Arabidopsis thaliana: one gene and its partner. The protein of the gene in region 1 purifies or fractionates together with the protein of each later gene. This does not show direct contact. Each region holds a gene or a part of one and is shown in the gene's direction. Other genes may lie near its edges.

Region 1 (3,755 bases):
TGTGTTTGATCTTTTGAGAGAGGAAACAAATACCATTTAAGAGTTCAGCTTCAGGTAAGTGGTATCTCTTAATCCAAGCCCACCATGGAATAATCGATGTATCGAAAAGCACTGGTTCGTCGTTACTCGTTGTTTCTGGATTCTCTTCTAGCCATTTTCTTCTCTTTGCCTCTTCAAATCAAAACACATTAAACATCAAATTCAAATTTCGAATTTTCACCAAAGTAACAGAGCAAAAAAACTTAACGAGGATCTAATTCTAATCTAACCAGCAACGATTACAGAATCCCAATCGGTTTTTCCATCTTTCTCGAACTGTTTCAGATCCCAAGTTCCATTAATCCATCTCGCATCCTGGAATTTGACAACACTCTCCGTTGTTTTCATCTCTTCACCTTCGACGGCGACATTTTTAGCGGTGGCGGTTTCTTCCTTTTTAACCGCCGGTGTTGATTGCGGAGGCTCTTTAACTATCACTTCCACGGGCTCAGGAGCCTCCACGGAGACGGCGGCGGTGGGAGAGGTTGATCCACTGTCGGAGGAAGCTCGAGTGACGGAGAGGAGAGAGAAGCGGTTACTGGAGAGGAGGGAGAATGAAAATTTGGGAATGAAATTGGGATTTTGAAGAGATGAAGAAGAGATTGGCGGGGAGAACAACGCCATTGTTGTGGTTTCTTCTTTACTTCAGAGTTTCACAAATCACAACTAGTGGTTCTAAATAGACTTGTTATCGTTTAAAGATGTAACATGTATGTCGTTTCTTTCTCCCAAATTGAGACTACGTAACGTGTTTTTTTTCCCTCTACACATACAGAAACAAAAAAGTGACTGTTATCTTCATGGGCTCGTATTAAAAGCCCATCCCAGTATTTTGGTGTTGTTATGAGGGTATCAAACAAAGAAAGTCAACACATTTACCTGATTAATCAAGCAAAGTTTTTATTATTATTTTGTATTCAACTAAGCAATGTACCTTACAATATTTTCCATTTTACAAACAATTTAAGGTTTAACTTTTTAAAAGGAAAAATTGTACTAAACTAAATTCATTAATAATATATTTAATTAAAATTTTAATTAATTTTTTTTTCTGCAAACTGAATTATATTAACCAATTGAGATTTTACAAAGTAGTTTTTGTAACCAAGGTGGTTGACGACCTGATTAAGAATAAAAATCTCCATGAATACAATTAGAGGTTGAGAGGTAATGAGCTATACTATTATTTACACGCTTTGTGAAGCCAAAGAAGATTGAAGAAATTTTTAATTAATTTAAAATTTTGAATCCCATAAAGTATGGTGAAAAGAAAGCTCAACAAAAATAAATTTGTAAAGAAAACATAATATTTCTTTTAAAACATAAAAAGCCTAAAAAATGAATTCTAAAATATGTTTTTTACCTTGATGCCCTAAGCCATGACTTCACTTGATTGTGTGGAATGTCGGGCTTGATTTATTATACATAAATGCATTGTATTTGTTATAATGCAACACGATGACCAAAGGATATATGAAGTTGATTTTCAAGTATGATTTGTATCATGTGTTATGATGAAAAGTGCTATTATATATTAGACTCTAAACTTAGTACTTGTTAAGACAATCTTAGTGAATTCCGGATTATAAATGTAGATTTGTCACAACCGGTTGTTACAATAGCATCTTATACAACTTAATTGTACGAGATAAGCTCACTTTCAGTTCTTTACCAATCTTGAATATGAGTGTCGGATAATCAAGGCGTCGCATAATCAAGGCATTTTGAATATGACTCTGGAGAACTCTTTAAACTAATCAAGGCGTTTGAGGAGCCGATGCCGACATATATATGGACGAACACTCTAAAGGTAAATTTGGTTATCCATTGTTCAATTGTTTAGTAAAGTTTTGAGATTATGCATTTTTATGATGAGTTTTGTTTTTTTGCTTAAGACTCGGAGAATATATCTTTCTCAACAGCTTTTGGACCGAGGATTTCACGTATGCCTGCTACAGAACTGGTCAACGGTAAGTATGCAAATTTTCTTCCTCTAGATTCACAACAAGTATTATGTTGTTCATACATACATGTACTTGATTCTTTCAAAACTGCTTGTAGCATGGACTTGTCATTGAAGATGAACCTGAAAGTCTTCCCATTGGGGAAACTCCTGAACATCTGTCTGGGCGCTTTATGGTAATAAAAGGTATAATATTTGCTAATGCGTCTACTGAACACTTGCTTGGTTCACTTTATGCCAATCTCCATCGAATGGGGATTACAAATACAGTTGTTTCCAATTACAATATCAATACAAAGGTTAGCTTCTTGAACCTCACTATTGATGATATTAAGGGTAATAAAAGTTCTGAAATAATTTTCTATTATTCCTTCCCGTTCAGCTATCTAGGGTTTTCCATATAAACTCAAAGGATATGGTGTTGGTGAATGCGCCTTCAACTAGAACTGGAGTAAAAATTCAACTCGTCTGTCATGTTTTAACTGAATTGTCAGGTTTTAACTCAAATGCTAACTTCTATCTATGCAGCTAATATCAGAATTTGGATCGATCAAAATGTCCATTAACGAAGAAGCTGACATACAACGCTTTGGTGTTTTGCAAAAGGTAAAACTTGCTTGGCTTTAACAATTAATGAGAGGTTATGTTTTTAACCATAATTATCTCATTTGACAGCAAAGCCAACAGATTTATCTGATTAATTAAGCAAACTTTTTTTTTAAAATTTTGTAATCCAAATCTAAGCAATGTACACCTTAGAATATCTTCCATTTTGCAAGAAATTTAAGGTTTAACTTTTTAAAAAAAACCAAAAATTTACTAAACTAAATTCATTAACAAATTATTTAATTAATTTTTTTATTAATCTAAAATTTTAAATACCACAATATATGGAGAAAATAAAGATTAACAAAATGAATTTATAAAAAAGACCTATAATATTTTTCTTAAAAAATAAAAGCCTAAAAATAAATTCTAAAGTATGCCTTTTTATTTTGATGCCTAAGCATAAAATGCATTGTATTTGTTATAATATAACATGATGACCAAAGGGTACATCAAGTTGATATTCAAGTATGATTTGTATCATGTGTTATGATGAAAAATGCTATTATATTAGACTCTAAACTTAGTACTTGTTAATCTTAGTGAATTTCGGATTAAAAAATGTAGATTTGTCACAATCGGTTATTATAATAGCATCTTATACAACTTAATTGTACGAGATACGCTCACATCAACTTCTTTACCAATCTTGAATATGAGTGTCTTTACCAATCTTGAATATGAGTGTCGGATATAATTATAGATAGTAGAAGGCGTTCACATGTCTGATTATGTTGACCAGCTTAAAGATGATATTGCTTCTCTTTATGGGTACAATAGGTTTCTTATTAGAACTTTGGCGGCAGTGATTTTCTCTGACTTTATTCTCCATGACATTCCTATCTCTGTTGCTAATTACTCATTTATCATCAACTGAAATTTCTTGTCAGACGTTTAGTCTTGCAGAACTCGTTAAACTAATAAAGGCGTTTGAAAAGCTGAGGTCTACATATATACGAAGAATACTTTAAAGGTAAACTTGGTTATCCATTGTTCAAGTGTTTAGGAAATTTATTAGGTTATGCATTGTTATGATGAGTCTTATTTTCTTTAAGACTCGCAAAATGTATCTTGCTCAACAACTTTTGGACTGAGGATTGGACCGAAGATTTCAGGTATTCCTGCCACAAAACTGGTCAACGGTAAG
Region 2 (3,755 bases), on another chromosome or scaffold:
AATCTATTGCGACAATCTCTCCTCCGTGTATCTCTCTGCGAATCCAGCTTTCCACAAAAGAAGTAAACACTTTCAGCTACACTATCATTATGTTCGAGAGAGAGTAGCACTTGGAGCTCTGATTGTGAAGCACATACCTGGTCATCAACAGATCGCGGACATCTTCACCAAATCTCTCCCCATCAAGCCGTTCTGCGATCTTCGTTACAAACTAGGCGTCGATGTTCCACCTACGCCGAGTTTGCGGGGGGCTATTAGAGAGAATGCATCTTGTGTTGAGACAACAACTCGGATTGGTGAAGAGAAGAACCAGATCAGAGCTGTGATCGGACACGAAGCAGAGGAATCTGTAAAGGTAAATTCTTCAGATGACATTATCAAGAAGGTTCTGAGATTGGGCCAAATTGAGAATGCAGCAAACCTCAAGCCCAATAAACAACAGGCCCAAGCGCAGACCCTAAACAACTCTCAGCTCCAACGGTCATCTCCTGCAAAAGAAGACAAAACCAAAAGTACATCAAGATTGGATCAAAGGACAAAAACAAGGAGCTGTGCTGGAAAAGAAGGAGTGGTTTTACAAAACTGTTTTGACTGTCTAGGATCAATAGAGACCTGACATGTGTCAGTGAAAACCCTAGTGTCACTAAGATTATAATGCCTATGAAAGGAAACATGATGTAATCTTAAACCCTAAAGAGAATAATCAAGAGAAATGAAATTTATCTTCTTTATATTTAGCCTTTGAGCATCTTTACTTTCATTGGTTAAGAGAACACTGAAAGCAACAATTCATATGTATAAAAATCTGAAAAAATAATTCAACATTCTAATTCATTAAACGTAGGATTTACAAAAGTCCCACTTTGTCTCCCATTTTTAGTCATCGTTCATGATGGTTGTATGCGAATAGTTTGATGAACAACTATAATTATTACATTTAGTTTGTTTCCAACGAGCCATATGTCAATGTTTGTTACGCTACAATTTTTATTTTTCTTATTTCTTAAACTTTTTACTTTGGAATAAGTTGATATGTATATGAATCATCTACCATTTCTCGTTTTTTCACAATAAATCCTAAATTTTTTGAACATTTTGTCTATATATAACTTTTCCATGACATAAATTAACCTTAGATAATATTGTATCTAAAGGTATAAACTACCGTTCCAAGTCTGATTAAACTATTGACCCTAAACATTTTTAAAACTGTTAGATCCACAAGACGCACAACTAGTTGATTGCATAGTCTTTTGAAACAAGACAAACAAACACTATATCAAAACAATATCATCTTTCTAATTTTATTTTAGTTATGTCGCTATCTATATGAACGATTTTCCGATAAGCTAGTCATATGCAAAAGATTTATAAAAAAAGTAATATGTTGACGAGGAAAGTGATAGATTGATAAATTAAGAACATAAATGTTTTTGAAAAGAAATTATAGCTAAACTGTCATAAAATAAAATTATAAAATAGATTAACTTATATATAATAGAAGCAACTTCAGTTTTTTAAAACATTCATGGAATTAACGATGGATATCGAAGTTTATTGGTCAACCTAAAATCATACCCATACATTTTAGTATTTATTGGACGACCTCAAAAATCAAAGTCATTGTCGACCATTGTAATACAGTTAATGTCGCATACTATGCCTCTGAATCATCCATCCATATTTTGTTAAAACGAAGTGAGTTTGTTAACTACAAAATTTCCAATTATTGGACTATACATTATATTTTGTTTATCCACAGGGTTTTTCACATAAATTAAGAAAATACAAAATACTTAAGATCTTGAAAAATTATGTAAGTTATTTTCTTGCCGTCTCATTTTATTAAAGATAAAACAGAAAAAATAAACAAACAGGCCGAGGCCCAACAAGGTCAAGGCCTAGTCCAAGAAGCGAAACCCAAACATGGAGGAAGAGAATGAGAGGAGTCATCACAGAGCCAGGTGTTACGAAGAAAGTGAAACTACAAGTACAAGCATATAGTACTAAGTACTAGTCGCAATTTGGTCACAGACATAATTTCCTCGAAAACTGGGTACATTGTAATATTTCGTCGGAAAAACGTCGCAAAATCTAATTTTTAATCGCCGAGTAAGATGTTTGCGTCTTCTCAGAATCTCCGTGAGTTGAAGGAAAATGATTCGCGGCGGAAGAAACAACATTACTTCCGCTCCGGCGTTTTCGAAAGACGCAAAGAAGCTTCTTTTATGCACAGCCAACACCGTCTCTGTTTACAGCGTCGCCACTGGCTTAAAGGTTTTATCTCTCGACTCGAGCATCCTTCCTTTTAGGGTTTCCCTCTAATCTTCTTCTCTCATTAGCGTATGCGTGTGTGTGTTTTTAAGATTACTTCACTCGAGGATCATACAGCGCCTGTGACGTCTGTGATTGTTGATCCGTCTTCCGACGAAACCGTCAGTTACTGTTGGACTTCGTCGCTCGATGGGAAAATTCGGATTTGGGAGTTCTCTGCGCCGAAGCTTTTGAAGATATTTGATACCCACCTTCCAATTCACTCTCTGGTCTGTTAAAGTTCCATACTTTGCAGCTTATAAACAAAAATTTGATAACTTTCAATTGCCCTTTTCTAAGTGTCTGTTGGGACTTTGTAGGTGATGATTCCAGCTCAAGTGTCACATTCCGTGATTGCTTATGTTTCGGTTGAGGACTATTCAAGTGTGTCCAAAGATTTGTTTGGACAAATCCGGAGATATGATCTCACTCAAGACCCTCTTCATAGTGGAGACACTTTGAAAGAGGTCAGATTTGTGGATTAACCATTTTTCGATTAGCCTCATGTTTGATTCTATAATCATTTTTGTTAATGTGCAGATGGAAGAACCAAAACCTATTGTTTTAAGTCCCTCTGGAGAGTTTTTCGGCGTCTGTCATAACTGCAGTATACATATATGGAATGTGGCATCAGAGCACCTCATGCCAAAGGAGACGACATTACATCATACAGAGTTGATTACTGTTTTTGCTTTCCATCCCAATCAGAGAATATTAGCAGCCGGTGATGTAACAGGAAGAGTGTTAATTTGGAAGGATAATGGTATTGGAGAATTTACTTCAGTGAAAACTGAAGATGATACTGAATCTTGCACTACTTTCAACTGGCACAGCGCTGAAGTAACCGTCCTTAATTTCTCTTCAGATGGAGCACTTTTGTATTCTGGTGAGTCTGAGTTATTTTTTCATCATAGTGACTGTATCTCTGTGTGTTGATAAGGAATTCATGTTTCTTATATATATATATATTGAGTTCTTATGCTATATTTCCTTTGCTTGTGACTCTTTTAGGGGTAAAGGCAGGTGATTTTGTTGTTTGGGAGCTAGGTACAGGGAAGAAGCAACTTTTGCCAAAGATTGGATCTCCCTTGTTGTATTTCATCTTCTCTTCAGATTCAACTCTTTCTTCTGTAAGAGTTTTTCCGTTTACAACAACCGTAGAAAGCAAATGAAGTGTTTCATTAACTCTACTAAGATCAAGAATTTTCAGGTGATTTGTGCAGATAATCAAATTCATCTTCTTAAAATGCCTTCCATGGAGATATTGAGAACGATATCTGGAATCAAGGTTCGTTCTTACTATCATCCGAAATTTTTCCTTGTTATTGTTGGTTTAAGCATGCTCATATTGTATACCGTTTCTGTTGGAGTTAACTTCACATGCATATTGTGTTCTTTACTATGTAATAGCCTCCGACACCAGAGCGTCACGGGTTTATATG

The links.
Region 2: the proteins of AT4G17590 (region 1) and AT3G26480 fractionate together in Arabidopsis thaliana (co-fractionation; one large-scale study listed by BioGRID). This does not show direct contact.

What each region holds. Positions count from the first base shown.
Region 1 is NC_003075.7:9,800,667-9,804,421, reverse strand, and holds AT4G17590 (NOL1/NOP2/sun family protein), read left to right. Parts: upstream 1-1,830; coding exon 1,831-1,849; intron 1,850-1,934; coding exon 1,935-2,009; intron 2,010-2,119; coding exon 2,120-2,301; intron 2,302-2,384; coding exon 2,385-2,453; intron 2,454-2,530; coding exon 2,531-2,608; intron 2,609-3,311; coding exon 3,312-3,413; intron 3,414-3,498; coding exon 3,499-3,579; downstream 3,580-3,755. Other genes in the region: LIL3:1 (Chlorophyll A-B binding family protein), read right to left, coding at 34-171, 270-663.
Region 2 is NC_003074.8:9,689,230-9,692,984, reverse strand, and holds the start of AT3G26480 (Transducin family protein / WD-40 repeat family protein), read left to right. Parts: upstream 1-2,018; 5' UTR 2,019-2,157; coding exon 2,158-2,277; intron 2,278-2,366; coding exon 2,367-2,543; intron 2,544-2,633; coding exon 2,634-2,780; intron 2,781-2,853; coding exon 2,854-3,199; intron 3,200-3,324; coding exon 3,325-3,443; intron 3,444-3,523; coding exon 3,524-3,601; intron 3,602-3,723; coding exon 3,724-3,755.